Bombyx mori: one gene and its partners. The protein of the gene in region 3 interacts with the protein of the main gene of each other region in a pairwise test. Links are inferred from orthologs where the notes say so. Each region holds a gene or a part of one and is shown on either strand. Other genes may lie near its edges.

Region 1 (10,084 bases), on a different chromosome or scaffold from region 3:
TTGTTTTCTCTAAGTACGCGTAGTACACGTCCGACTTGTTGGAGCCATTGGCGGCCACTGCGGACGGGGTGGAACATAACGGCGTGGCACGCAATGTGGCGAGCATTAAAAATTATGGTCGAATAGATTGAAAATTTGATTTCTACGTACTTACCCCAGCGCCGAACTTACCCCAACGCACCTTACTGGGTACTAAAAATATCAAGATGTAAACATATTTCTGTGATATACAATGTATATATGTAAACCATTTTACTTGGTGTAAATAATTGTTTTATATTTCGATCTATCCCATAAACCATTGTGCACATGAGTTCTGCTGTTTAATTGATAAATAATTTTCATAACTTTTTTCATAACCTGAAAATTACCTTTATATTTTTTGTCAGTATATGAATCAGGTTTGGGACGTATTTGGCAGTATCTTAGCATCCTGTTGGAGTCACTGTAATAGAAACTACTCAGTCGATTCTGTGAAATGTTTTAAAGGCCTTACATGGGGGGAAAGTGGTGATGCAACTGCGGACCATGCTGCTGGATGCCGTTTCCGTATGCACCACATACGCATCCTGATTGGTAATGATATTCGCATTTCGCGGCGCCCCTACTGGAGTCATTGAAAGTGATATCAAATTAGCATCTAGCCGCTGAGTCAGCAATAGAGCAGAGTTACTAGAAAAATAATTCTGCGCCCATCTTTGAGATGCGGCTCCTAAATACCTACCTTTCAGTTGACTGTATACAAAAGACAGCTCTTTTTTTTTCAAAGTTTTTGATTTCATGGATCGTTTGAAACCTTGGCGAGGTAGATTCAGTGAAGCACTACTACTACTACTAGTACTACTCTTGCTAGAGCTAGTGTTAGCAAGTCCTCCCAGGTTGAGCCCCATGAGCTCACCTAAAAAAACCCGCGCATAGTTGGAATAGGCACTTAGGCTACCAACGATCGGATAGAAAATTACCATGTGTGCTATATTCTGGGAAATTAACGCATGAAAATACTCTAAAAGAATAATATATGTTGCCATCGTCGACAAACACAAACATGATGCACACCTATCATTATAGACAGAGATAGTCATGGAAGTCTACAATCGACTTTTGTGAATCTATCTTCACCTAGTAAAGGATAGGGAAGGAAACCCATACTTACACCGGTCACTCACATGCGCACGAATACGCAACCCACAAGTGTAGGACGACATTTGCGAATGATTATGCAAAGTTTTCGCTGCATTCGTGGTTTTCCAAGCTGTGTCGGTTTAACAGACATCAAAGCGCGCGAACCTCGAACCTTCACGTAGTCTCCCACACATTCGCTTGCCCAGTTGCGCCGACGATTGCGAAGGTAACGGACGTATACTATACGCCATTTTCATAGTTCGTGACGTCTACTGTGTAGCGTATCTTCATCAAAAGAAATCCCATAAAAACAGCATGGCTGTTAATGATGTCTGGGAAAGAATTAAAAACTTTTTCTCTTCAATGTTCTATTGACGAATTAAAAAGGAGAAATTCGTGAGACATTCGTAAACAAGTGTAGGAGGAAGCGCAAACGGGTTCGCAAATTGAGTATGCGAACCCATTTGCACAGCCGCTAGGCCGGCATTAGTCTATACTCATTAACGCATGAAAATACTCTAAATGAATAATATATGTGGCCACCCTCGACGACCATAAACATGATGCACAACTATCATTATAGTCAGAGATAGTCATGAAAGTCTTTAATCGACTTTTATGCCGGCCACTCACATGCGACTTTTATGCCGGCCACTCACATGCTCCACTCATGCTGTTTTTATGGGATTTCTTTTGATGAAGTTACGCTACACAGTAGACGTCACGAACTATGAAAATGGCGATACGTCCGTTACCTTCGCAATCGTTGGCGCAACTGGGCAAACGAATGTGTAGGAGACTACGCGAAGGATCGCGGTTCGCGCGCTTTAATGTCTGTTAAAAAACCGACACACCTTGGAAAACCACGAATGCAGCGAAAACTTTGCATAATCATTTGCAAATGTCGTCCTACACTTGCGGGTTTGCGTATTCGTTCGCATGTGAGTGACCGGTGTTAGGGCCGAGTCACACCGGAATGGCAACGTCGCGGCGAGCACTTTCCGTGTGAAATAATTTTAAACTTTATCTTCTTTCTGGTCGTTCCCTCAATGCTGAGGATCGTGACTGTATGTCAATCTTCTCCACTCGGTCCGGTTCTGCGCCATATGTACTGCTCCCCATATCTGGCCTCCAGTCACCTCCTTGAGTTGGTCAACCCATCCAACTTTATCTATATATACTTATAAGACCAGTATCGCTTGCAAAGCTCCAAAAGGTCGCGACACAGCCGCGCGCCACGTCCGTCTTGTCTGTGGTTCTGCCCGCGGCTGCTAGCGGCGACACGAGGCCGCTCGCGGCACCGCGGTCATATATAATAACCAATTCCATCATGTTCACTCTAAACATACGTTTTTTTTTTTTTTATTGTTTATATGGGTGGACGAGCTCGCAGTCCACCTGGTGTTAAGTGGTTACTGGACCCCATAGACATCCACAACCTAAATGCGCCACCCACCTTGAGATATAAGTTCTAAGGTCTCAAATATAGTTACAATGGCTGCCCCACCCTTCAAACCGAAACGCATTACTGCTTCACGGCAGAAATAGGCAGGGCGGTGGTACTTACCTGCGCGGGCTCACAAGAGGTCCTACCACCAGTAATTTACACAAATTATAATTTTGCGGGTTTCATTTTTATTACACGATCATTGCCGAATGAAGAAACTAATCTAGTCAAGAGGAGACTAGGCGCATGCAGTCTGGAGGCCGCGCGAGGCCGCCAGCGGCGACGCCGGAGGCCGCTGGCATCGCCGCCAGCTGATGTCGGACGCTGCTATTCCGGTGTGACTCGGCCCTTATGAATCTACCTTCACCTAGCAAGAGATAGGGAAGGAAACCACTAGGAAGAGAGACCTCTTCTCTCACGGACCCACATAATCAGGAGTAAACATTACCTATATCGATTGTGGAGATGTGGGTACTTTGTGAAATATAATTCCAATTAATGTGAATAAAACTTCATAACAACATCTAAAATTTAATTTTACAACACTGTTCAAAATATATTACTTAATTAAAAAGCAACGTTATGAAAAACAATTTGAAATCCTAAACATGTAATTATATTCACCATAAATTTAATTATGTTGCTAAAACATTACTGCACTCTTGACATAGGTACACCACAAAACTTTTAATTTTTTTCATACCCTTTACAACTTTTTATTCCTAACATGATTACTGCAGCTCAACCAAAATTCTTAAATGATTATGAAATTTCCCCATTAATATTAAAATTAATTGGCATCTTAATTAAAAATAAAATGACAAACACAGTCCATTTCTTAAATCAATGGTAATAATTCCAAGTTAAGTTTAAAATAATATAAAAGAGCTTTCTTATGAAATTACAAAATTATATTAGAAATTAATAAAAATATATTATCAAAGGTTGACTGAGCTGATATGTCAGTAAAAAAATAATATAATTAATCTGTTAATTAAGAGCTTAGTCCAAATCAGGAGCTGTGGCCGACGTCTTGCTTTCACCATCATCATCAGAACTATCTATATCACCAATAATAGATTTTATTAGACCTCCGAACATAGAGTTTGGATTTCTATTTTCCGAAGGTATTTCTATTCCAAACCAAATGCGGCCTATATTGTCTAAAAAAATGGAGTAGTTTGGATCCCTTTTAATGCTAATTGCATACCAATTCTTTAGTACCATAAACTGTCGTACATGTCTCCTGAAATTAAATACATATTAAAAAAAACTGTATTGATTATTTAACTTAAAATACTTAATATTTCTAGTCGTATTTTGCTATTTTGACTGGCTAAATATATTATGAAATTCACCAAATTCTTCAAAAAAATTGTTTACCACGATAAAATCATTTTTTTGTTTCAAGATATAATTTTATAAGATCTATCGTGAACAAAGAATTCTTGGATTTATTATTTAATTTTTAAGGTTATCTGCAAATAAATGAATTGAATTGTGCTATTTTGTAATGTAATAGATATAAAATTATTACTATTTTATATAGCCTACCTATATTACTAAAGGGACGTCCATTAATCACGTGAGGTAGTTTTGTGAATCTTTCGACCCTCCCTCCCACCTTGGTGAGACTTCATAAGATTTTCCTCCACTCCCTCCCCTCACCCCTAATCTTACACGAGATTCTTCAAAACTTATGTTTTGGCTGTAAATGTATAGGATTGAGAAAAAAAATAGCTACTTGTTCTATTACTTTCATTGAAGACTAACAAAGACTAGCATTTGTGAATATTACCGTAATTTAACATAACAATCATAAAATTAAATAGCGTTCGTCGAGTCGCACGTGTCAATACAGCTGGTCGACAGTGCACAATCGAGCGGTACTTTCCTGCTCTGTGAGGTTCTGACGAATACGAGAAACGCTATTGTGTCAGGTAGAAAAAAATCGGTGTCTGATTTGGCCATATTTTATTCTAAAAATAATTGTTCAGGCAATTTTACACCGTTTTCTGCTAAAAAGTGAGATATTCGCTAAGACCCCCTCCTCCATCCTAATTGAGATTTAGTTTGATCCCATCTCCCCTAGAACACCTCACGTAATTAATGGACGCCCCCTAATCGTTTTTTTACATAATACTAGGTGATAAACCTGCAATCAGAAGGAAAGGCAGATGGTGGAAACCCCCGCAGAATTCATAAACATAGACATCATGCATTATAATATGATTTTTACTTTTACTTTACGTTCCTGTGCAAAATCATAATTAAATTTCTATTTAGTCAAAAAGTTTTCAGAAATAGTTATCTTACATATATCAGTGTGCTTAGTGCAAGTTTTTTACCGTCTCGATAGCGTAAAAGTTAACTCAAATTTGTATGCAGTTGGAACAGCGCCCCTAGCGGCAAATATAGGCAAACGCTCCAATTCCATACAAATTTGAGTTAGCTTTTACGCTATGGGGAACGTTAAAAAACTCGTACTAAGCACAATGTATAAGATTCTGTTTATGGATGACATAAAAAGAAAATTAACTTACTGTTCGACAGCTCTCAGCAAGAACCACAAAAAATTCAATAGTGGGAATATATATGGAGGTCCTTTGCTATTCTTAATTTTGGGATGTGTTTCTGTATACCTCAAAAATGTTTCAGTTGCCATTCTTACATTTCTCAAACAAAGTATTTGCAACACAGCTTGTGCTATGAACAAATCTATTTCTGATTTGAGACCTTTAGTTGTGTGTAACTCTATAAGCATGTTAGCATATGCTGAACCATCCGATGAGTGTAAAAAGTGTCTATGAGCAGCTGTGTACTTTTTTTCCTTCCAAAATACTTCTGCTATTTTCTAAAATCAATTACAATTTGCGTCCGTTAGTTAAAATTAATTCTATGATCTTTAGCAATTCATAAACACATAATATTTTTCTAGACTAATAAATATATAAACACTTTTAACAAATTCAAAGGTTTAGGTTTTTTATGAGTGGGGTCTGAAAACTTTCCGACCTAACACAGATACAAGACTTTTTTTATGTTTGTTTTTATTTTTTTTCATATTCGCCTCAACAAGTCGCCTTGTAATTCTTCATCCAATGATGCTCGCATATCTCTATCCTTTCCAAACAATAGACGCCGTTTTTCTCTATAAAATAATTATTCATGAAGGTAATTAATTGTCTCCACATAATTATAACAAAAAACTGTCCTCCGAGCGCAATTTTTTGATGAGGAAACAAAAAGAAGTAACTTGGAGCTAGATTTGCTGAGTAAAGTCAAGATAAGGATGGTCAGCAGTTCAAAGTGCAATTCGTGGATTTTTGCTATGGTAACCACGGAGGTCTGAGACGGCATGTTGTCTTCACCATAGGATTTTCTTTTTCTGCACAAATGACCATTTTTTTTATTTTTTATTTGTCAAGTATTGATGCGTAGTACGCTCCTGTAATGGTTTTAATTTTTTAATGAAATTGATTAAGATAACTCTATGACTATCCCAAAAAACGGTCACCATCACTTTCCCAACGGAAAAAATAATTTTTACTTTTTTTTAGCTGGTTCCCCCTTTGCAGTCCACTGTTTTTCGGATGTATAATGGTATATCCATGTTTCATCTATAGTAAATTAATTGGCACCAAAACTCTGATTTATTGCTAAACCTAAACTGCACCAACAGAATTGGAAACATTCAAACACGTTTTTTTGTTTTTGTGACCATACATGACACTCAACGTGCAGACAGCTATTTTTCTCATCACTAATTCATATGAACAAAACATATGGACATTTTCATAGCCTCTACTATCTATGTTCTCTCACTTTAATTCAGGGGTTGTCTAGCACCATTTGATGATTTTAGGGATGTTATTGTCAATAGTTGCTCTTTTTGGATGTCCCCAATGTGCATCATGTCCCAAGCTTTCATGGAAATCAATTATCATTCATTTAAACTCAGTGGCCCAAAATTTCATTAGTTAATTATGGTGTAGAGTTCCCATACACGTAGTCCAATTCATCTTGGCATAGGTGTATTGCCTTTTAACCAACAGTGCTCTGTACTTTTTGTACCACTTCTTACCAGCAACTCAGGTACATTTTCACAGTGACCTTTGGCAATGCCCTAACATGTATTCTATCCAGAAATCAAATGCTTCTGTGACATTGCACCCTTCATCAAGTCTTCCAACTAATCTTCGCTTTCGATTTCACTAAATCTCATCAATGATCTCTTTGGTATTATAATTTCAGAACCATGACTTGAAGTGACCGAATTATAATCAAAGTTGTCTTTTGCAATATCTTTTAGCACTTCTAAATCAAATATTGGTGTTAGATCTTTACTATCATTAAACAAATATTTTCATTATTATGATTATTTGTCTTCATATGGTTAACCATACAAAGTAAAAAATTGCTGAATCATAACAGTACAGAGTATGTTTTAACTATAGATTATAATTGCCAACTGATAGCTCAATACTTATTTTTTCCATTTTCATAAATAAGTGAGTGTGTTACATCAACTCACTCCAACAACTCTTAAGTAACAAGTACAAAACATGTTCAAAATGGATGAAATTTTGGTGAGTAATGGCCAAAAGATAGACAGTTAACTACATTCACAAGCATTTTTTGATGAGTTCTGCTATTTTCATGATTGAAAATGGTTAAGGTCAGAAACTTGTCAAACCAACCTCAACCTCATATTAATCAATAATATGAACAGCATTGCAACAATTTTTATTGCTAAGGTTGATAAACAATCTTATGGCTGTTCCTCCTTTTAAACTGGAATGCATGACTGTTTCACAGCAAAAGTAAGCAAAATTATGATATCTAACTTCCTACCAATAGTAATTATGCAAGTGTTCCAGGTTTGATTTTTATTATAAGATATTATTCATTCATCTTGGAAGTCTTGAAAAATTTATCTCTGTATGATTTAGCCATGAACACTGTTCCATTGCTTCATAGTGTATACAAACACACAAAAACACACTACCTACGAGTTGATTTCATTTGTCATAAATATTAATTAGAAAAATGGGCTATGATATTTTCGAATAAGAGTGTCAAAATATCATTTAAGAATGAACTATTCTACAAATTAGTACTGTACCTTGTGTAGGAGTGGGTCACCTTTTTTGTTGTTATCCATTGACCATTTTATTGAATTTGTTAGAAAGGTTTCTCGCTCTGGGACACTGGAGCTGATTAATTCAAATAATTTTGCCAATTTCGAGACCCATTCTTCATTAGGTTTGGTTTCCGATTTTGTTAAAACTTCTACGAAGAGTATGGCGAGATCAGCTCCACTTCCTTGTTGATCGCGTTCCAAAAGAAGTGTAGACCCTTTGTACAATAAAGTTAACAATTCTGGATATTTTTTCTGAGTTAGGTATCTGGAATAAAATATGAAATCTTTTGAAAAATTACTATAAAACACCATTAAAAATATATATTGCAGATTTACATTATAGGTACCTAAAATAAAGAGTTCTGTACATTTGATGTGCTTCATAATACTGGCCAGAATTAATTGAAGCTTCTAACTTATCTAATACCCTAACAACTCCTCTTTCTCCACGCGTGGCCATGATATTTTTATTACAATTTCCAGATTATTCTGTTTTCTTCCGATTTCGTGATCACAACCAATTTACCAATAAAATAGATGACAATGGTACTGTCATATTAAGTGTATAATCTATGGTACTGTCACTCACACTACTGTCAAGTTATTTTTTGTTTGGATTGAGCGAAAAATGCGAGGTAAAAAGAGAACAGCCTATTCAGCCAAGTATTTTCTATTTATTGAGTGAAAGGTGGAATAAATTAACTTAATTAACCGGTCAATTAATTTACATTTTCTTCGAATACAATGGTTTTTTAAGAACTCAAGGAACCATGTGAAATTATAAAGTTTTGATGGTTTTGTTTTTATTCCGTATCTGAAAAGATTATTTCATCATAGAAATATTTTGTACGCGTAAGTACGTACCCCAGTTGGCGTTGAAGCGGTTCCATGATCGCCAAGCCTCTCTTTCAGTGAATTGTTCGAAGCTCACCTAGACAGCATCCCCAACTCGTACTCCCAAGATACCAAATAAGGCTAGTGTGGCTAGGCTAAAACTAAAGTGGGCCAGGAGAGCCGTCTCCTAGTTGCTCTTTACTTTACCGGTCTTTAAGCCAGCGTACAAAGGGGGCCCGAAACACGTTGGAGGCCAGGATTCGGGTGAGATCCCTAGCCCGACTGCAGCTCAAAAAGCGCACTCTGTCAGGTCCCGCTGCCGGCAAGATAATTTGAGCTTTGGAATAGTAGAATCAGTCCATATAAGTACTCCGAGCCTGTTCCCTTTAATGAATGTTTAAAAAATTTTATAGCATACCATGTGATTTGTCTTGTATTTTTTTTAATTTTAATTTGTCAGTAGAACGCATTTTTTTTTTGCGGTGGTGGAGACTCGGCTATACATGGAGTGTCTCTTGGAGACCCGGCTATACATGGATGCTCGATAAAGATCGCTGATGGTGCCCATACAACCTGCACCAAAACAGGCGGCAACCTTGGGCGCCCCAATAATGGAGAGTTTCAGTCTCAGCTTTTGCAGGACTCAAAGTCTGCGCTGTTCCAGCTGATTCGTTTATTCGTCCGTTGTCGTCAGTCGCTTTGTAGGACAGGCAGACACGTGGTGCTGCGCAGGGAGAGACGCTCGGCGCCCTCACTATTGTGTGAACGAGTTGGGCGAGTTTTCCAAAAGTAACATTTATAAACACTATTGTATCTTATGTAGTACACGGCTTAATATGTTTTGCTTGGTAATTTCCTAACTTACTACAATAACTACCTACTTACGATATATGGCTACAACGGCTGCTCCACCCTTCAAACCGAAACGCATTACTGCTTCACGGCAGAAATCGGCAGGGTGGTGGTACCTACCCGTGCGGACTCACTAGAGGTCCTACCACCAGTAATTACGCAAATTATAATTTTGTGGGTTTGATTGTTATTACACGATGTTAATCCTTCACCGTGGAAGTCAATCGTGAACATTTGTTAAGTATATTTCATTAGAAAAATTGGTACCAGCCTGTGGGATTCGAATACCGTCTCAGAACTCGTGTCTCATGTTGGTGGAAGCATTTATGTTTGTAGATATCTATAGGCTTCAGTAAGCACTTAACCCCAGATGGGCCGCGAGCTTGTCCACCCATTTAAGCAATAAAAAAATTGAACACGATTTATTACCCTTACCATTTGTACATTATGTATACAAAGTGTCTCGCTGTCGCGGCTATCACTGTCACAGGCTAAAACATTGGCATTGGTAGTGGTATTATAAAAATTTTAAATACGTCATAACGATAAAAGTAAAGTATTTAAAAAGTTTAAGTAGTATTCATAAAGGATAAGATTTAGATTTTTTTTAAATTCCTTCACTAAGCTAGGTGTTTAACACGAAGAGGTCGATTTTGTAATATTTTTTTTCATTTGAAATAATTTTT
Region 2 (10,857 bases), on a different chromosome or scaffold from region 3:
CGGTGACGTAGTTCGTGCTATGACGTCATAGATGAATTTACAAAGAGACATTTCCTATTGACATTTTTGATAAAAAAATCTTTTAACGTTGTTTTGGTAAAACTAGAAAATGTTTGATTTGATTGATTGAAATGACTGTATTGTAGTATTATGATGATTAAATTTAAGTAATGGAAACTAAAATTAAATCTATTTGAACAAGAGGTTATCATTGAAGCTAACTGTTTTTTATTGGTAGCAGAAATTCTTGAAATGGCCTATTATTTTTAAATATTAATTATAATTTTTTAAATAATCAAAAATTTACTTTTCAGTTTATTACCATAAGGAATATTACTCAATCAGAATCGAAAACTTTTCGTTTTTGAGTTCGGAGTAGGTATATAAAATTAATGTATAAACTAATTAAAATTGAGACATAAATAAACAAAGATTACGTAAATCCGTACATAATATGGATACACATATATATCAATAAAAATTATAGTTTAATAATTAATTCTGTTTCTACAAAGAGATGCAAGTTCATTGACCTTTCCTGGTCATTCATAATGCAAGTTTTATTTACCCTCAAAATCTCTAATGTAAGTCAGAAAAAAATGTTTTCAGTGTGTTATTTTTTTTATAACAATAATGTCTTCTTTTTTTAAATGAATAGATAGACAAAGGAGGTAAATTCGCGTTTACCCTGTGACGTCATCGGCGGAGTGAATGGCGGATAGGTGTGTGCGTACTAAATAAATATTTTCAAGAGAAGAATAAATCATTTATATAGAATTAATAATTCAAATATCAGTTCGAATAATTCGTTTTTTTTTAAAGATACTACTATGTTTATTCCGAGATTAGTTTTTTACGTTTTATTCAGCTCTCAAACACGTTTGCTTTTGTGAATGATTTCTGAAGAACTAGCGATCCACTTATTCCATGAGCTAACATGGGGTATGTCAGGGCCCCTTTCCAGAACTGTTTTAATGAGGACCGTGAAGTGTAGCGCTCGGAGAACATCGATAAGGCTCAATTTAGATTAGGTACTTTAAGTTCTCTGGAAATTATTGTTATTATTAAATTTATTTATTTCACATAATATTAATCTATGTTAATGTTAGTAACAGTGGTTTCTTGAATAGTAAGAATGTAGTAAGAAAAGAAAGGAACAGCATACATTTATTTATTATTACTGGTGGTAGGACCTCTTTTGAGTCCGTACGGGTAGGTACCACCACCCTGCATATTTCTGCCGTGAAGCAGTAATGCGTTTTGGTTCGAAGGGTGGGGCAACCGTTGTAACTATACCGAGACCTTAGAACTTATACCTCAAGGTGGGTGGCGCATTTAAGTTGTAGACGTCTATGGGCTCCAGTAACCACTTAACAACCATGTGGGCTGTGAGCTCGTCCACCCATCTAAGCAATAAAAAAATACATTGCAATTTCAACAGTTGACCATTACGAGCAAAATTTGTGGTCTTCTCTATAATTATTGAGAAAAGGTCTATCTTATATCGAAAATATGGCCAGGACGCTGTTGGAGCAAGCCCCCTACCCTGGAGAGCAAGGACGGGCATCGTTTTCTTATTATTGCATAGAAATCGTCTGTATGCGCCTCCGCAAGCTTGCACGATGCGGTGGGGAATCGAAGCAGCCCCATCAGTGTATTTAGTGCTAGTTTTTTTAACGCTTTTGACAGCGTTTTTTTTCCTACCTAACCTGATTGCCTTGAGAGGCTATTTCAGCGTAATCTGAACTAGTAGGTGAGCTCACGGGGCTCAAACCTGACGACGTTGCTAACACTGGCCCTAAAAAGAGCAGTGCTTCGCAGAATCTACCACCGGATCGGAACTGCGACCCTCTGAGAAGATCCGGCTCTCAGTGGGCTGTGTCTATGGGTTAATTTACTCGTCGAGCCCTTCGTCGCAAACGACGGGTTCGACGAGAACGATGACCGGTGCTTGAGTTACCTAAAAGCACCGTTAGTGGATCGGGAGGATCCGAAATAAGGTGTTTTGGGCGACGTCGACTGCTTTCAATTCTGTCCGCAGGATCGGGAATGTTTGATAGCGTAAAAGTTAACTCAAATTTGAATGCAGTTGGAACAGCGCCTCTGGTGGCTAACGTAGGCAAACTTTTGAACTCCATACAAATTTGTTTTAACGTTTACGCGATCGAGAACGTTAAAAAACTCGCACTCGTGAGCTCCCCTACCCGTCTGGGCGTAGCTGTATTAGGCTGTTAACTGTTACTGGTGGTAATATAAATAATATAATATATAAATATTTACTAACAATCACGCCACGTTAACTGGTCCCGTGCTAAGTTCGTAAAGAACTTGTGTTACAAGTACCAGATAACGGAAATAAATATAATATTTTTATTATACACATACATATATTTTAATATACACCCATAACCCTGGAAAGACATTTATATTTATCATACAAATATCTTCCCTTGGCGGGATTCGAACCCGCGACCCCCTTGTGTAGTGACCATGTCACTTACCACTACACCAGACGGCCGTGGTAGGACCTCTTGTGAGTCCGCATGGGTAGGTACCACCACCCCGCTTATTTCTGCCGTGAAGCAGTAATGCGTTTCGGTCTGAAGGGTGGGGCAGCCGTTGTAACTGTACTTGAGAACTTAGAACTTATATCTCAAGGTGGGTGGCGCATTTACGTTTTGGATGTCTATGGGCTCCAGTAACCACTTACACCAGGTGGGCTGTGAGCTCGTCCACCTATCTAAGCAGTAAAAAAAAAGGCTACCAACGAAGAAAAAAAAACGGGTTTTTTTAACACTAGAAAATAAAATAATTGTTTTTTTTTAATAACCATTTAATTTCATAACAGCTTAATAAAACATATCTAAAATTAAATATGACAGAGGTTATAAATAATTAATACCCAAAAATACTTATGATCATACAATATTAAGGGAATAACCGAAATTTTACTGCTTATTTTCTATGATGATTAACACGTAATGAAATATTGTTCAGTTTCTGAACGTCAAAATGACAGCGAGCGACTTCCGCCATGACACCAAATCCTCTTACAAATCCAGCCGCCAAAAGTAACGCGTCAATTTTATAATTCTCATATATTAAGTCGTTAATTTGTAAATATAAAGGTTTAATAAATATTTCATACAAAAAATACAGTCCACGCTTAATCAAAATAACGCAACAAATACATACAGGCATAGTTGAGACATTTCATTTAGAAAAATTGCTCTCCATTTTGTACTGGCTTCTAGTCTCATATAAAATGAGTTTCAATTAAGAATGTGCATGGATTTGCGCCATATTGTGACGTCATAACTGTCAAATCGAAAAAAATAGGTAAAGTCGGTAAAAAAAGTAGGAATTTTTAAATATTTATTTATAATCCAAATTTTCGCGTTTGCCGATTCCACTCATCCCACTGCTTGAATAATCATCATCATCGTCGCATTATACTATAATCATTATAGGGTCCGGCAGTGTTGCAGCGTTGTTTTTTAAATAGGTGGTAGTTTTTTTTATATAATCTATATTCATGTTTAATTTACCTCGACCAGTACTCAACATTTCAAGCAAATTATATAGATCTGTATGATTCATTAAGCAAACATATTAATAGTCTTCATAATAAGGCATAAAATTCAATTAAAAAAAGAAGATAACATTTTTTTTGTTGCTATCCGTACTTTTTTATCGAACTTTGACAGATCAAGGTCATTGACGTGCACATTCTTATTTGAAAAGGACTATAACGCGGTTCCACACAACACGGGACTTGTTAGGAGCATACCTACCGCGCTATAGGAGGGTATATATCTATATATTAATACGTGAAGCAAAAACTTTGTATCCCTTTTTACGAAAATTGCGCGGACAGAGTATGAAATTTTCCACACTTATAGAGAATATAGAGAAGTGCGCAATGCTAATAATTTTTTTAAATAATGCATAAAAGATACATTAAATCAATAAGGAAAACATTACACACACTACATACCATGTATTTGACGCACACACGCATGCATACTATTTATTGTCAAACTTTTGTTCTTGACGTCTGTTGTCAAATTGAGATTAAATATTGTTTGTCTTTGTTAATATTTTTTATAGTGTAGTCTTGGCGAAATTTGTGATTATAGAAGTATAAAATACTAGCGACCCGCCCTCGCTTCGCTTCGGAAACATTAAAACACACATGAAACCAAAAAATAAAAAATAAAAATAAAATAAAAAAAAGTAGCCTATGTTCATCAGGGACAATGTCGGCTTCTAATGGAAAAAGAATTTTTCAAATCGGTCCAGTAGTTTCGGAGCCTATTCGAAACAAACAAACAAACAAATCTTTCCTCTTTATAATATTAGTATAGACAACCAATAGTACTAACAAATCATCCTAAAAGTATATTATAAGGCACGATAAATATTTCTTCAATAACACATTTTACCCTTACACTATTAATCACTTATTAGTAAAAAATTAAATCGTTACCTTTGTCTGTTTAGTTCTTATGAAATAACTGTTTTTTTTTTACAGCGCCTTCAAAGATGTATAGGATCGTATATTTTATATATTATATATACAATATCTAATTGTCATTTGTAAAATGGAAGAATTCGATTGAGTGAAATACTTCGACACGATATCGTTTATGGGACGCTAAGCAATCTTAATCCTTTGCCTGTCGTGTAGGTCACCGGTGCCCTACGCGGCGCACTGAAGTATCTATATCGATTTATCTCTTCAACTTCTTACTAAGGCGCTGGAATATCTAGTAGACTCCGGGAAAGACGAATCCGAGAGATACTGAGAATGAATCTATTTGTAAGAGGACTAAAACATATATTAACAAACAAAAGAATTACTTTAGTGCGCCGCGTAGGGCACAGGTGACCTTTTTTATATATTTATTGCTTAATTAGTTGAACGAGCTCACAGCCCACCTGGTGTTAAGTGGTTACCAGAGCCCATAAACATGTAAAACGTAAATGCGCCACCCATCTTGAAATATAAGTTCTAAGGTCTCAGTATAGTTACAACGGCTGCTCCACCCTTCAAACCGAAACGCATTACTGCTTCGCGGCAGAAATAGCCAGGGTGGTGGTACCCACCCGCGCGCACTCACAAGAGGTCCTACCACGAGTAATATATACCTCTTTTGGAACTCTACAAACTTCCCCTTGGATCCCAACAGATATCGACATAGTTACTTCAGTGCGCCGCGTAGGGCACCGGTGACCTACACGACAGGCAAAGGGTTTAAGATCCTTGAAGCCGTGGAGCATTGTTAGTGTCTACAGGTTCTCGTAGTCCGGCGGCGGGCTCTTCGTGGCCTGAGCGACGGCCGCTTTGGGTAGATCCTCGCCTTGATTCATCACGGAATTAAGCAAGCGCTGTGAAACGAAAATGATTTTTTTTTTGACAGACAGTTGGCACCCCTGACTGGTGCGTTACTGCTATGTTTCCGTTACTGGTTTTTAAAGCACAGGGAATTCTAGTTTGAGGTCGTGTGGCAGCTTATGAGAATTGTCTATGGCCATTTCAAAAAACTCAGATAATTATGTATGTTAAAAGAGTGCGTTAATCCACAATACTAAAGCATAGATTTTTCTTCTAAATTTTCAGTATGGCAGTCGTCTTGTTGCGATTCCAATATTGCCAGAGCTTAAAACACAATTAAGTGAATAGAGCGTATATGTTCGGTTCTGTTAACCGACTTATAAAATGAGGAGGCTCTGAATTCTACTATATTTTTTATGTGCGTTTTTTATATAGGTGAACTGATTCTAATAATTAATGTTTTATTTAAATTTTTATTTCACCAAGATCTAGTAGGTATGTAACGAATAGTTTTAGAGTTATCCTTAACGATGCATAATTGACTTCGACTGGAGTTGTTTTTTTTTGTAACGTTCACCCAATCAAAGGGTACACGGCTCATACAGCCAAGTTTCACTTTCATTATCAAATTCAAATTCAAAATCATTTATTTCAACTTGGATGTCATCAAAAACACACTTGTTGAATGTCAAAATGTAAAAGAAAATGTTAACTCTACCACCGGTTCCAAAAAAAGCCACAGTCCTGAGAAGAACCGGCGAAACAAACTCAGCGGGCTTTTTTTCGAAGCTTTTTATCGATTTACAACAGTTAATTCACACTTACAATATGCTCGAGGCCATCACTGTTTGGTCTGCTCTGCGAGTAGACGAGACTTTGTTTCGTCGTTTGAACTGCGACCGGACTTTTCGATGCGACGTCTTCGGCTACCTGCAGCGCGTGACTGAGGGCACTAAAATAATAACCACAGATTATACGAACTTTCGTTTCGATAAGGCGTTTTTTTTTTATATACGGACAAAATATACTACTGGTGAGAAAATATATTTTTTACCGGTGGTAGGACTTCTTCTGAGTCCGCACGGGTTGGTACTTCCTCCCTGCCTATTTCTACCGTGAAGTAGTAATGCGTTTCGGTTTGAAGGGTGGGGCAGCCGTTGTAACTATATTGAGATCTTAGAACTTATATCTCAAGGTGGATGGCGCATTTACGTAGTAGATGTCTATGGGCTCCAGTAACCACTTAACACCAGGTGGACTGTGAGCTCGTCTACCCATCTAAGCAATAAATAAATAAAAATACAATATCGCTTTAGTTAATTAAGCGCGACTTAGTAATCTGTTTTTTCTTTGGGATTTTATGACCTGGTAACTAAGACATTTAGGTATGTCTTATTTTAATTTATATTCGTATTTTTATGAAAAATGATAATATGGAGAGAAATGAAAAGAAGATGATTAATTTGAGACATTAATCAACTGGGATGAAATGAAATGAAATAAGATGATATGGGATGAAATAATATAATCTCAGTAAAATGGTGGTCATTTACTGAGATTTTTTCAGTGGACTTTTTGGAGGATCCCGCGAAGTTATGTCCAGCGGCTTTGTTTCATTTTCCCACATTTGTGCACTTTCACAGATAGTAAACAATTAATAAACCACCGTTAGTTATTACACATTTAAGCCTGAAGAAACACTAACTAGACAAAATAAAACAAATCACACAACTTCACTTCTCGCGTTCCCGCCAAAAAGTACTTAGTAATCTGTGTTTTAGAATCATAGACAATACATTTGATCTATGAGATTACAATAAATTCAAATGCGGTTTGGTGTTTAGCGGGAACCCTAGGAGTGATATGTTTTATTTTGTTAATTTTGGCCCCAAATTAGGATTCCCCTGTTTTATTGGTACCAGTGAGGGACATACGCACTTATATATTTTTAAATAAATACATATATAAACAATGAACACTGCGACAAATATTAAACAAATGTGTTCATCACACGAATGTTTGCCTGACGTGTGAATCGAACCCACGACCATCGACGTGACATTTATAGATCTCAATTGTTTACCAATATAATCGTATTAAAATAATTTATCCACTAACATAATTGACGTTACGTATAATTGATTTTTAAAATAACAGATTAATAATAATAATAATGTTTTTATTGCAAGTAACCATGACTCATATAAATTGTTAATAAGACTTAGACCTATGTTAGTAGTTATATTTACATCACAATGAATTACTGTCGTAACATCCCATGGGAGATGGCACCACAGCGACCCATGTATACACAGTCCAGCCTGCTTGCGATCATGCTCAGGATACTGTTGGAGCTGGCCCTCACTCTGCTTACCAGAGATACACACCTCTTACGCATGGTAGCGTAAAAACAATCTATGTGCGCGTCTGCAAACATCCCTGATGCGCTACAAAAGCGGGGCAGCACCACCAGCACCCTAAACGCGTTATTATGTATAAGCGTCCTTATTAAAAAAAGCACTTACGTGTCTTTATCGGGGAACACTTTACTGACGAAGCCTATTTCACTCGCTTCCCTGGCGTCGAACTTTCGGCCGGTGTAGCAAAGTTCTCGCGCTATCGACGTGTTGCCAATTACCTGAATGAAAATGTTACCGTGTTTAAAATTTTGTTCCGTCATCTATATATTATTAAGTGGTTAACTACGAAATAGCTGTTTAGTGTCTTCCTCCTTCCTCCTCGCGTCAATAATCCTCAATGCTAAGAGTCGTGGCCTCATGAGGCTTTCTTGGAAAACTTATCCGGGCATGGGACCGGTATTGGGATTGGCCGTTTAATGTAGAGAAAGTTTACTGGTGGAAGGACATCTTGTGAGTCCGCACGGGTAGGTACCACCACCCTGCCTATTTCTGCCGTGAAGCAGTAATGCGTTTCGGTTCGCAGACACTGAGACCTTAGAACTCATATCTCAAGGTGACGGCATTTACGTTATAGATGTCTATGGGCTCCGGTAACCACTTAACACCAGGTGGGCAGTGAGATCGTCCATCCACCTAAGAAATAAAAAAGTTCGGTTCATCTATAAGTGAATTTTTATAGTTTTTTTTAAAACTACCTTTATTATTATTTTTAGATCGTAATGAAGCTACTTGTATTTATCGAAGCTAATGTACCTTCGGGAGCCTTTGCAGGGTTCCAACATCGGCCGCCAAGCCAACATCCACTTCCTTGACTTGAAACCACGCGTCCTGGGAGCAATACCTGAAAATTCAAATCTATCTAATATATAAAATTCTCGTGTCACAGTTTTCGTTGCCATACTCCTCCGAAACGGCTTGACCGATTTTGATGAAATTTTTTGTGCTTATCCGGTATCTATGAGAATCGGCCAACATCTATTTTTCATCCCCCTAAATGTTAGGGGTAGCCCACCCCTAAATTTTATTTTTTATTTTTTAGACAAAATTTTTAATTTCTGTTTTTTTATGATACAGCATACAAAAATACATACAACCCTAAATTTTCATCCCTCTACGATCAACCCTTATTTTTTATTTGCTAATTAAAAACTTTAAATTTTTTTTGCGAGAATTTTGTTTTTATTTTGTCATGGCGTAGAATAAAAAAATTAATATTACTCTGAAATTTTCACCCCTCTACGATCAACCCCTATTTTTTATTTGTTAATTATAAACTTTAATTTTTTTGGCAAGTCTTTATTTTGTTTTGTCATGACTTAAAATAAAAAAAATCATATTACTCTCAATTTTCACTCTTATACGATCAACCCCTATTTTTCCATCCCGATTAATATTTTTTTTATTCTATGCACAGATCCGCAATAAGGTTGCAAGATGGCAATCAAATATTATAATTGTAGTACGATAAATTCTTATTCAGAGTTTATAATTTCAAGTTCCTTTAATTATGATTTTTTTTAAATTGAATTTGATCTCCCGCCCTCGCCGGTCCACTTCTGATCAACTATCAATCGATCAGCTATCCCCGCCAGGTGTCACCACTCATCCAGCAAACATCACGTAGTAGGGATGAGGACGAAGCCGGTCTCCTCTTACTTACTCACTATACATCATAGATTATCATTAGAGCTATACAATACTATACCTTTTTCAGCCATGTTTTTTTGATTTTATTTGTGTATCAATAGTATGTTAATAGGTCTGAGAATCGGCTACTATCTATTTTTCATACCCCTAAGTGAAAGGGGTTGTCCACCCCAAACATTTATTTTTTATTTTAATTTTTTGGATATATATTTTTTGTTTATAATGAGGTATTATGTTGTTAAATGAGGATTTTTTTCTACAGTAGAATTACCCTAGAAATCTTATTTAAGGCAACACAACGTTTGCCGGGTCAGCTAGTACTAATATATAAATCTACAGTGGTTTTTACGGATGTTCCGTTGTAACTACTGAACCATGCATCCGATTGACTTGAAACTTGGTATCCATGTAGATAATACATACATACATACATACATGTACTTAATGGATAGGCAAATATTTATATGAGTGTTGGACTCTCATTAAGTTATTCCCATTATTTATTGTTATTAAATAATGACAATAAATAATAATGTACGTGAAGCAAAAATTATGAGATGAGATGATATGGAATGAAATATAATCTTAGTAAAATGGTGGTCATTTACTGAGATCTTTTCAGTAGACTTTTTGGAGGATCCCGGGATGTTACGTCCAGCGGCTTTGTTTAATTTTCCCACATTTGTGGACTTTCACAGATATTATTAATTGCTTAGAATCTGTGAAAGTGCACAAATGTGGGAAAATACAACAAAGCCGCTGAACGTTGCTTCTCGGGATCCTCCCAAATGTCCACCGAAAAAGTCTCTGTAAACGACCACCATTTTACTGAGATTATATTTCATCACATATCATTTCATTTGGAAATTTAATTCGTTTTAATAATTTATGTAATGTCGCGATTAGTTTTCTTCGTTTATTAAATTGTGAATAATTAAAACGGCGAATTATAAAAATCTTATTACTTGACGCTGGCTAATGCACAAACCGTGCCGGAGCCAAAAAATAAAGGAAAGATAACCGTTACCCTCGCCCGGTTACGCTGATTTTTTTTTTCTACTGATCTGAGAGCCTTGATGGGTTATTTCAGCGTAACTTTAACTAGTAGGTGAGCTCATGGGGCTCAAACCTGACGACGTTGCTAACACGAACCCTAGCAAGAGCCGTGCTTAGCAGAATCTACCACCGCATCAGAAACGCGACCCACTGAGAAGATCCGGCGAGAAACGCAGTGGGCTGTGTCTGTGGGTTAACTTACTCGTCGAGCCCTTCGTCGCAAGCGAAGGATTCGACGAGAACGGTGACCGGTGCTTGAGGTATCTGAAAGCACCGTTAGTGGATCGGGGGAATATTAGCAGCAGTGATGCTGGTGGACTGAGAAATGAAAATGCTATAAGCAAATAGGAAAATGTCTGCCCACTCCAAGTACCTGATGTCGCAGGCGGTGACCAG
Region 3 (11,330 bases):
TATGTACATCATACACTATTTCCAAATTAGATCAAGTAAAAAAACTTTTTTCACGAGCACAGGGGCTCGCAGCGCACTTATTCATAATTTAATTACCTATACATTATTAGGCTAATTACATAGTTACCTACAAAATATATAGGTATATTTATTCTTATTATCGATGTTTTGAAATTTCAAGAGAAATTTCTTTGGCTGGTATTTTTAAAACCCCACTGGTTGATATAGACGTCCTTCGTAATTCCACAGAAAATTAATTATGCGGATTAATTTAAAATCCTAAAAAGTAACCATCCTAAAGTAATCAAGGCAATTTTCTGAATAGTCAAATATGGATTCATTTAAAAGGCTTATTACACTTGGTTAAATTTAGTCGACTGAATTCAGAAGCAAATTTAGAAGTTCCTGATTACACTGTTCTAAATTCAGTTACTGAATAAATTGTCAGTTTAAACGCGACGAAGTAGCACGTGTCGCATTCCCGATCCTGCAGAAAGAATGGAAAGCAGTCGACGTCGCCCAAAACACGTCATCGCGGATCCTCCCGATCCACTAACGGTGCTTCTACGTACTTCAAGCACTGGTCACCGTTCTCGTCGGACCCGTCGCTTGCGACGAAGGGCTCGACGAGCAAACTAACTCTCAGACAGCCCACTGAGTTTCTCGCCGGATCTTCTCAGTGGGTCGCGTTGCCGATCCGGTGGTAGATTCTGCGAAGCACGGATCTTGCTAGGGCTCGTGTTAGCAACGTCGTCAGGTTGGAGCCCCGTGAGCTCACCTAAGGTAGGAAAAAAAAAAAAGGACGTGTCGCACTGGCCCCAGTATTGTCTAGACAACAAAAAACATTTTTTTTTGTCTTTATGTTTCAATTTCCAATTTGTCCAATAAACAGACAAAACCAATGCGCTGTTTGTCACACATAAAGCGTACAGTTCACGACACTCCGCACTTACTGGACGGCACGTTTCTTTTCCTAACAAATAAAGCTAAGGATAAATTTTAAGGCAGGAGAAATAAAACCACCGTTTACTCATAAATAAAAAAAACATGTTTAATTACACATTTGACTTGTTGAGATGAGATATCGATCACGGGAACGACACTGAATAAATGCAAGTATTATCATTTTTTCATGCAACGCCGCGTCGTTTTCGGCACTGCACTACACGGCGATTGAAAATCATTTATTACTGATGTTTTAATAAAAATTGTATAAATTGAGGACAGTTCCGAAAATTGCCAACATCCACCTATTTACATTTGAATGTTTCTTTTTTGTAAAGTTTTTTATAGTTATTGTATGAAATGTGTATACATTGGCTGGACGTTGGTCGGCATTCACTTGAATATCTTGCCCTGGTTGAACTTTCTACCGTCTTTGTCGGTTCCGTTCCACGAGAAGTAGTCCTGGACAAGTTTCTTGGTCTCCTCGCTCGAAGGATCCAGTTTCTTCCAGTCGTAGGACTCGTAGTCCACCTGTAAAACGATTATTTCATTAGTTTCTGTAGATTGGTTGTTATCTATACTAATATATAAATCTACAGTGGTTTTTACGGATGTTCCGTTATAACTACTAAACCATGCATCCGATTGACTTGAAACTTGGTATCCATGTAGAAAATACATGTACTTAATGGATAGGATAATATTTATATGAGTGTTGGATTCTCTACAGCAGTTGTGGGGGCGTTAAGATGAGAATCTTTGTGGGGGTGAATATAATAATGTTAATTTTAAATGCCCGGCGATATAAAATCAATACACACAAATGACATTATTTCTAAAGCCATGTCTGTTGAAAAATACTGTAACTGCACTATTGTTGTCTACCCTGCATGCACACACACACCATTAAACATTAGTCAGGGCAGCAATTCTCATCAGATACCCCTCATCATTACACATATTGCACTCAAAATATAAACTTACTAAAAGAGCAATTAACTAAGTTTTGTGAATCAATTTTGTTTTCCTATGAATATTATTAACTTTTTGGCTTTTAGAATGGTAAACTACACTACTAAATGAATTGCTGTTCGTTAGTCTCGTTAAAACTCAAGAACAGCTGGACAGATTTGGCTAATTTTGGTCTTGAATTATTTGTGAAAGTCCAGAGAAGGTTTAAAAAGTAGATAAATATGCAAATGCTCGGAATTAAACAAAAATAACAATTTTATTTTTCCATTGATGTGTCCCCTGTCCATCAGATTCCTTTTGTTGTTTTAAGTTTATACAGAAGTTTAGGTCTTTTATAATATCGGTTCAGGCACTACGAAGTTTGCAGGGTCAGCTAGTACATTATATATATATATATATATATATATTGTATCGGTCAGCACGGTTGCTTTTATGCTACTTTGCAACTATGTCATTTGTATACAAACCTGCCAATCAGACGACAGCGGGAACACGAGCTCCTTTCCGCGCCACACCCACACTCCAGAGATGGTGGAATTGTTGTCTTCACCAAACAGGCAGACGGATGCGAAAGCCTGTTTGCGCATTTTGTCTAACCTCTGGAACATACCTGGTGAATAGACGAAAATTATATGTAAAAACATAAAAGTCCACTTGTAAGTTCTGGGCTGCTATGCAATTTCTGCTTGTTTTATCCTCATAGACCCTTGATGATCAATAGGGACATTCTATGATAAAAGAAAACTCGTACAATTTATAAAATTATTCTGAGAGGTGTGTCAATGCAATTCAGTAGTACCATCCTGTCTATTCCATAAATGCACTAGTAATGAGCTCATTCACCTGTATAAGTATTAAAAAAAAAACTTACCCGTAATAAGGTTACAGCTCATGAACACTTTAGCGAGTTCCTCGGGGTATTTGTATTCAGCATACCAAATGGAATAGTTCTCGGGGTCAAACTTCTCCCAGAAGTAAGGAATAGATTTAGCTTCGTCTTCGTTGGAGTAGACACGCTTGAAATCATCCATGTTGAAGGTACTGAAATAAAAATGTAACAAAGTTTGATATCTCTTTTATTAAATGTTAATTGTTCTAATGAAGGTATCATTTTTAACACCTTGACTGTATTAATATTTTTAGTGTCGTTCAGAAACTTTGGAAGGGGATTCCCTCCCTCTTAGTCACAACTATTATTTTTATTTCTTTAATTAACTGAATTACAAGACTAAGCAAACATACTAATCAATATGTGAGTTTCATGAACTGACTATTTTAATGGCTAACCGAAACCCTTATTATATACTACGGATTCCTTCTTGAATGACCAACTAAACCAAAACTTTCATTTAACATTCAAAGAACCACAACTGGGATTTTTTCAAGTACAAAAAATACATAAAAAATCAGATCATGCACATACCAAATATCTTTCAGAAAAAAAGGTCAGTCTGGAAAATGAACCAGAACACATGGTATATAAGCACTTTCACTAAACAATCAAACAACAGGGCTTGCTTGTTTGTGAATTGTTTTTCATTTCAGTGAATAACAGTTATTTACCCTTTAGGCATAGAGTCGAAGGGGTCCTTGGACTCCTTAGGCTTTTCAAGCTCCTCCTCTTCAAGGTCAGGAACAACTTCCTCCTTCTTCTTGGGTTGCTCTTTCTTTTCACACTTCTTATCTTTTTTGCCCTCCTATTAATTCAATTTTGGGAAGTTTTAGTTTAAGCAACATTTTTTTCTATCTATATTCAAAAGTATATTTTTAATGGTATATATTGCAAGTAACAAAATTTCCTTGGCATAGCATTCCCGTAATAAAACTGTATAATCTCAAAACTTACTAATTTTATGGTTATATGGTTATTACTAAGGTTTAACATGTGATATTTTTAATATTAATCATCTTTGCAACATTTATTTTTTATTTTTTAGCAGTTACATTATCTGCCTTTTAAAGGCAAGCTAAAATTATGTATTAATTTTATTAATAGTAGTAACATAGGTAAACTAAAAAGTTAAACTAAACTACGATCTCTTGACGGTATTTTGAGAAAAATACTGGTGATACCAAATGATTCCGCATATTAACTCAATTTCGAATATTTTTGGAAATTGTACACTTTTAATGCGGAAAGACGATATGTAATGCTGTTTAGCTGTTCTTATTCGATAATTGCTTTCTTATTACTATTAAAATTTGAACAAACATAATTAAATTATATTTTTTGATAAAAAAACTGTAACAGTTACAGTACCTTCTTGTTCTGTGCACCAGCTAACTCCTGGTACTTTTTAGGGTCGTATGTAGGAGGAGCCGCACAGAGCGTGAGCGAGCCGACGACGGCCGACACTTGCGGCTGGTGGGCGACGGTCAGGAACCAACGCTGAACGTTTATCAGCGACGAACGGACGCTCGGGTCTAGCACGTGCTGAAGTAAAATAGCTTTTATGGCATTCTATTCAAACCCAATCGATTGTGACTTGCTTTCTTGAAAAACTGGTGGGAGGACCATGTGAGTCCGCGCGGGTAGGTAACACCACCGCGCCTATTTCTGCCGTGAAGCAGTAATGTGTTTTGGGTTGAAGGGTGGGGCAGCCGTTGTGTAGCTATACTTGAGACCTTAGAACTTATATCTCAAGGTGGGTGTCGCATTTACGTTGTCTATACGCTCAAGTAACCACTTAACACCAGGTGGGCTGTGAGCTCGTCCACCCATCTAAGCAATAAAAAAAAAATTCATTATTATTATTAAGGTACTATTTAATTTTCGATAACAATTTGCTTTTTTTAGTCTTATGCTTTTTTATTGTTCTCCTATTTGCTTTACAAACACTTTTATGTATTTAGTAATGTATTGTTTAATGATTCTCTGAAGTATCACTTTATTAACTGTGCTTACTCCAAGTGGTGAAGAAAATCAATTCAAATCTTAAAAGAAAGTTTTCAGTAGTTCATAGGATAACTTCCTTATCCTCACCTGGAAAGCATGCAGCAGTGTACTGAAGACAATGACATCGGCAAGTGTGATTCTCTCGGTAACAAGGAAGGTGCGTGTGAGAAGATGTCCGTCCAGTACTTTTAAGGCGGCCAGTAGGTCAGACTTTGCACGTTCAACATTCTGGAATTATTTAATCCTTATATCAGTTGCCAGTAGTTTGTGGCTTATAATTGTAATATTGAGTAGCTTATTAAGCACCATGACAATATAATAAATTAGAGAAAACGTACAAGATCCTATGTTTAATATTACTAAATTTTTATTGATGGTAGGAAGTCTTGTGAGTCTGCACGAGTAGGTACCACCACCCTGCCTATTTCTGCCCTGAAGCAGTAATGAGTTTCGGTTTGAAAGGCAGGGCAACCGTTGTACAGTTAAGAGTGAGACCTTACAACTCATGTCTCAAGGTGGGTGGCAGCATTTACGTTGTAGATATCTATGGGGTCCGATAACCACTTAACATCAGGTAGGGCCGTGAGCCATATATCTAAGCAAAAAAAAAGTTTAATTCTGAATAATGATAATATTCATATATTTTTATGTAATCACTTATATCAGTAGACTAACACATATATATTTTAATATCACAAATTCTTCAATTACCTGTTTGTTGAATTGCATGATACCAAGGTAAGGGAAGACCCAAGCGCAGGAAGCAGGCAGTAGTTCGCTGTCAGACCATGATGCCCACTGCCAGACACGGGCTTGGGTAGCCAGATCTCCTCCGCGGAGACTTTCATTGGCAACTGTAAAGTTCCTTTTTTAATTCAAGTTAAATGTTGTATTTTTCTTTTAACTTCTGATACTACTTGAAGTGAAAGGGTGTATGATTGGGATTATAAAATATTATGCAATAATTAAATATTATTAGTGATTTGTGAGTGTCCTCTATAATTATATTTAACGGAAATTATGAGTATTGTTTCATCAAGGAAAAGTCATGATTCGTCGATTTTATGAGTTTTTAAATCAGATTAAGTAGAAAAACGCTTTCATACTTGTACCATCGACGAATTATATAGTTAAATTTATTTGAAATAACTTCGCAAGAGGTATTTACAACCTTATCTTTTTTTAACTTTGGTTTATTAGGTATTCTTCTAGTTAGTTAGGTTAGATTTATTTAAGTTAGTTTTGTAGGTGTATTTGAAAATAAAAAAACTCACCGTAGTAAGCGATGGCATTGCTTTCAGTTAGAAGCACCTTTCCATCGGCACTTTCGAATGCAGGCACCTAAAATATACACCGATATTACACGTCACAACACTCAACATATGCCGAAATATTACTATGCACAATACGCCGGTTTAAACTCACTTTTCCGGCAGGAAACTTCTTCAAGAAGTCTTCGGACTTGTTGGTCTCGCCAAATACGAAATTCGGTGCTACTTTCACATCAGTCCCGGAATATTGTGCGGCGATCAACGCTTTATAAGCGCGGAAGTTTTCCGGATAAGTGTAAAGTACCTGAAAAAATAAATGCGTAATATTATTAATACTTTCATTATCATTGGGTTTTATTAATAAGTTTTCTATCAATGACTGGATTAACAAGATATTTCAAGGTAAATTACACCTACCCCGGCCGCCATGGTTGGAGTTTTCGGAAAGAGAAGGGGGGCCGAGGAAATATTGGCGAGGGAGGATTTTGCCCTTTGACATTGACATTCTGTGACAGCTGAAATAGAAATTAAGTGAAAATTGCATACACACGGTTATCTGTTAATCAATTTTTTAGTTTATTAAAAAAATCCCTTTTTCTTTCTTTAATTAGATTAGAATTAGACTAATATTGGAAATGCCTTGCAACCAAAAGCCTATTTCCAAGTGACTGTACATACTGTAGTTTAGGTCCTTATTTTCGGGCTAATGAAACTACCAATACCACGGGACGTTATATTATTAATTCTCTCTCACGGTCCGTACAGCTAGTCTATACATCACTCGATCAGAAACACCGTATGTTAAAGAATATAGTCTTGTGTAGCTCTTTATCATTGTAACAAAACGCTGAATGAGAATGTCTGTGTCTGGCTGTCTTTGTATCTTTCAAAAGTCTTCAAGCTGACGTGAAGGATTGAAACACATTTATTATGGCCATGTCTTGGGCACAAATTAATATTTGACAACAATTTAATATCGTCTGACCTGCGAAGTTTATTTGTGTGATGCTAGCAGCACGTCTTATGTCATCCATGCTGATCAGTGGCTCATTTTGTGGGTTAGCTTCTTCCTAAGCGAGCAATTAAATGAATGATTTTATAGAACAAAGTCAACTTCTGCAATTAGTTTTTGCTAGGAGAATTGAATGATTTATGTTGCTGTGTTCTTCTTTTAAGTGGACTAAAGTAGTTTATCGAATAAAGTATTAGCTAACTTTTCTGTTAAACCTCGTAATATGGCCACATCACAATTTAAATGATTAAAAACGCTATTTGTCTAATACTATCATGGACGAGCTTATACACTTTAAGTATTAGTAACTTTATTGGAACTGAATATTTCATGATTTTTTTGAAACATTAACCGTGTATTAACTTTTACATTTCACTGCTACTGATTCTTTTAATGCAATCGTAGTTGTTTTACCACTATTACTAATGTTTTTTGCAGAACAGAAGAAAATAGTTGAAGCTCAAGAGTCTAGCCTAATCTAGCTTTTGAATTTGGAACTAATACAGATTTGTGTAGATAGTTCTGCTCTAAATTTAGTTTTAACTTATTTCTTATAGGTAGCTGATACAATTGTACAAAACAATATATCTCAAGGTAGGTGGCGCTACTCACGTTCTCCTGACTATTATTAACGAATTTACAATAGACTAAATATATATCGAGACCCATAAAATTAAAACATACGGAAATGAATTTATATATTAGTATTACTTCTAATGAACTTTTTGGATTGATTATTGAACCTATGAAATATTGACCTAATTCATTTTAATGGTCCTCCCTTGAGCAGCTTCATACAATTCATGGCAACAATACAATCCGTGCGTAATTTAGATCGATGGTCATCGATGGTAGGTAACTGTGAATCTGCTGTGGTATTTTTGTTGCTTCTGATTTAATTTTATCGGAATCAGTTTGTGATTACAAACAGTCAGACGCACATTTATCTCTGATTGAGTGTGGTGTAGTAAAACTTTAGAATGGTAAGTGGCAAAACATTGTTATTTACTCGATTAACGTTCTGTAGCTAGTCACAAATTTTTAAGAGTTTAGCCCAATGCCTGGAAAAAAAACCGGTCTATATGATATGATTTTTTTAATTTAGACCTTAGAGTCATATGGTTATCTACTTGACTGCGAAAATTGATACAAGAATAAAAGGTTTGCACTTCGAAATTAGTTTTTAATTCTATTATGGAAAATGCAGTGGGTTGTCACAATACTAAAATTCTGGGTAGTAAATAAATTTTCATTTCCTTTGTTATTCTTTTTATCATTGATCTGCAAATTAACTAAAAAGGTAAACTACCAAAATATTCAGTAACATTATATATATTAATTCTTAATAGTCTAGATGTGAACTATAAAAGTTGAATCTTAAAATTTGATGACAAAAACAAAGTTTTGAACTAGTTTAAAATCTTAAACTAACAAAAAACACTTTACTATTACGCTATTGATTATATTAATCATAAATAAAGTATTTATAAAATGTGTAACCATTTTCAGGGTAACGAAAACTCTATTCCCATGGAACTATGTTCAAACTGTAAGTAATAAATTAAATTAATTTCTTCTATACGTTTTTTATTTCAATATGATACAATATATAATCATAGCTTAACAGTTGCATTTCTTCAACTTTATAAAGAAAATAAAATAAAATTGTAGAGATAAAAAAAGTATTAAAAAATATCACAGTTTAAAAACTATAGATAATGCATGAAAATTCTAACAATGGTTAGTTTAAATGGTAATAGGGCATTTAAATAAGACATAACAGAAAGTTTGTGTTTCAGCGCGTGTTAACTGCATTGATTTTAAGGTGGAAAACTGTGAGTGTTGTAGAGTCACTCGCGTATAATATCCATCTCCATGTTAGATTGCACACGCATTATTGTTCCAGAACAATTTTTGGTGTTCGTTTCAATAATGAAATGAAAAAGAAATAGTTCAGAAAAATTATTATAATAGATGATTGTAAAATAAAATGTATTCAATAAAAATAAACTGAAATGGTTATAGAAATCGATTGCGACTAAAAAATGCCCTGAAAAACTAAAACTAAAATAATAACATAAATTGCATTCCTAAATATCTATCGTGCAATATATGTATATCTGTATCTATATCATCTGTGCTTTATATCATATATATAAAAATACTATTGCTTTCTGCTTCTCTTCATTCTGTAAAAAAAAATTGTTCTGGATAAATAAATATTCATGCATTCCGCTAAAGCATTCATGTCACATCTATATGTCGTGTATTTATGTGGCATAGGGTACAGAAAAGAAATTGCAAACAAACAAAGCATAGTGAAAGAGCAATATTAAAAAGTATCATTACAGGTACTATCCTTTGTTTGGGCAATTTGTACCGAATGTTAGGTGTTGCTTTGTGTGTATAGATTTATTATGGCTAAGCTGGGCAGACATTATTTTGCCCTGTCTAATGTTAAGTCGTTACCATTGTCATTACAACTTTAATAGTGCTGCCCAATTTGAGACACTGGTCATTTGAGGTCTATGTAATGAAATAATGCCTGTTCTGTTTTTAAACATTGCTTCACTACAGAAATAAGCAAATCAGAAGCATCTGACGTCTGATAGCCCAAAACACATCATAATATGACTCAAATATATAGGGTGCTCCATGAATTGCCTAAAAGGCTGAGATAAAATTAGCATCTTAAGTAAAGGGTGGTTTATATTTAACTGTGTGTAATTATTAGTAAAGATTAGCTTAAAATTTTAAAGGTAATATAAATACAGTGAAAACTTATTTTATTATTAAATAAATACTTTATTGGTCAAGTTTCTCAAAGCTTATAATAGCAACTGTTATTTTTGATATTTTTATTTTATTTGAATATTGAGGTTAGTTTGAGGAAAACCATTACTGCACATGTAGGAAGGAAGCCTAAATATAGTATGTATAAATTATGAAATATAATTCATTTAAATTTTGGCATTTAGAAGAGACGATTATAACAAGTGTGGGACACCCTGTATACTTTTTGGGTTTTAATTTCACTATAGGATGTTACTGGTGCATCATGAACTTCTTTCGTAAACACATGTTACATAGAAATGTTTGTTCAATAATTAATTGTTCTAACAGTATAGTTTATTAGAACAGCCGTAATAGACCACTAACCAACCCATCTAGATTGCTTGAAATTTTACATTATTGATATATGCAGTAAGGATAAAGCTAGTTCCAATTAAGGAAATAGATTCGCATAAACAAATGTTCAAGTCCATTCTTTTGGTAGTTAAATTATGCTGATTGTTCGAGGTCTTCTAGAATAGAGTTAGGGTCAATAATGATTACAACATATCGATTTTGAAATACGAGTCGATGGTCGCGCATTTGCCGACGTTTAAACAACAGAAGTTGCGTGGTGAGTCGATGTATCGATGGTCACTAGAACGAGATATATTAATTAAAAACGAATCGAATAACATCGTCGGAAACTTGGTTAACGATTAATATTCTATCGATTGTTTAAAGGTCTCGGAGTTCCCAATTGCTAGCTTGCTGCAATCATCATTATGTTTTTTTTTTGTTGAAATACAAATTAACCCCTTTTGGATACATTTTATAACTCGAATATTACAAAAATAAGGCTACCCTTGAAATACATAAAGGTGCGTTATATAAACACATGTGCAACTAACAAAAGCCTTAAAATGTATATAGTTAGAAAGACGTCATAAATAATTTAGTAACGATGAAAAATTGGATTATTAGACGAACAATTCGAAGTGGTGAACACTAGCCATAAGCTCCACAACATCAATACTGCCTCCTACCTCGAGATAAAGTATCAGTTACATTGAAATCTCATCCTATCGGCTATCCTATCCTAATCTACAAACCGGAATGGCTTTGCAGAAGACAGTTAGTATGCTCGTATCGGACAAGTCCTACACTTCTTATACGTACAAAATCGAAAGGTTAAATTTTTCATGTAGGATTATCAGATAATTTATTTGTTGTGATGTTGATGTACATATCCACATTATCATCATTTATTTAGTAGGTACATTCTCGGTACACGTATAATGAATAAGGAATGAGACAACTCTCTTCTTTTTGAATGTTGTATATGTTTCTTTGTGCTGGTTGAATTCGAATGATTTTGTTTAAGAAGTACGGGTTTATTATTTCATGTAAATCGGTAAAAGATAAAAGCGGGTAGTTAGTTGTCTTGATGTATTTGTTAAAA

Evidence for each region.
Region 1: the proteins of Ef-1g (region 3) and Golgi to ER traffic protein 4 homolog interact in a two-hybrid assay, tested with the Homo sapiens proteins (2 studies listed by BioGRID and IntAct, with this or other methods). The link is inferred for Bombyx mori from reciprocal best matches to the Homo sapiens genes EEF1G and GET4.
Region 2: the proteins of Ef-1g (region 3) and delta(3,5)-Delta(2,4)-dienoyl-CoA isomerase, mitochondrial interact in a two-hybrid assay, tested with the Homo sapiens proteins (2 studies listed by BioGRID and IntAct). The link is inferred for Bombyx mori from reciprocal best matches to the Homo sapiens genes EEF1G and ECH1.

What each region holds. Positions count from the first base shown.
Region 1 is NC_085123.1:7,279,379-7,289,462, reverse strand, and holds Golgi to ER traffic protein 4 homolog, read right to left. Parts: upstream 8,308-10,084; 5' UTR 8,173-8,307; coding exon 8,060-8,172; intron 7,978-8,059; coding exon 7,695-7,977; intron 5,424-7,694; coding exon 5,113-5,423; intron 3,816-5,112; coding exon 3,572-3,815; 3' UTR 3,081-3,571; downstream 1-3,080. Other genes in the region: uncharacterized protein LOC105841590, read right to left, coding at 1-77. UniProt on the Homo sapiens protein: As part of a cytosolic protein quality control complex, the BAG6/BAT3 complex, maintains misfolded and hydrophobic patches-containing proteins in a soluble state and participates in their proper delivery to the endoplasmic reticulum or alternatively can promote their sorting to the proteasome where they undergo degradation.
Region 2 is NC_085130.1:2,359,130-2,369,986, reverse strand, and holds the end of delta(3,5)-Delta(2,4)-dienoyl-CoA isomerase, mitochondrial, read right to left. Parts: coding exon 10,835-10,857; intron 8,600-10,834; coding exon 8,512-8,599; intron 7,977-8,511; coding exon 7,864-7,976; intron 6,291-7,863; coding exon 6,164-6,290; intron 5,392-6,163; coding exon 5,293-5,391; 3' UTR 2,813-5,292; downstream 1-2,812. UniProt on the Homo sapiens protein: Isomerization of 3-trans,5-cis-dienoyl-CoA to 2-trans,4-trans-dienoyl-CoA.
Region 3 is NC_085124.1:12,662,576-12,673,905, forward strand, and holds Ef-1g (elongation factor 1 gamma), read right to left. Parts: upstream 6,514-11,330; coding exon 6,502-6,513; intron 6,389-6,501; coding exon 6,239-6,388; intron 6,155-6,238; coding exon 6,088-6,154; intron 5,668-6,087; coding exon 5,525-5,667; intron 5,042-5,524; coding exon 4,901-5,041; intron 4,352-4,900; coding exon 4,178-4,351; intron 3,615-4,177; coding exon 3,481-3,614; intron 2,959-3,480; coding exon 2,789-2,958; intron 2,528-2,788; coding exon 2,385-2,527; intron 1,477-2,384; coding exon 1,339-1,476; 3' UTR 1,026-1,338; downstream 1-1,025. Other genes in the region: Cnb (calcineurin B), read left to right, coding at 8,077-8,079, 8,606-8,645, 8,896-8,931. UniProt on the Homo sapiens protein: Probably plays a role in anchoring the complex to other cellular components.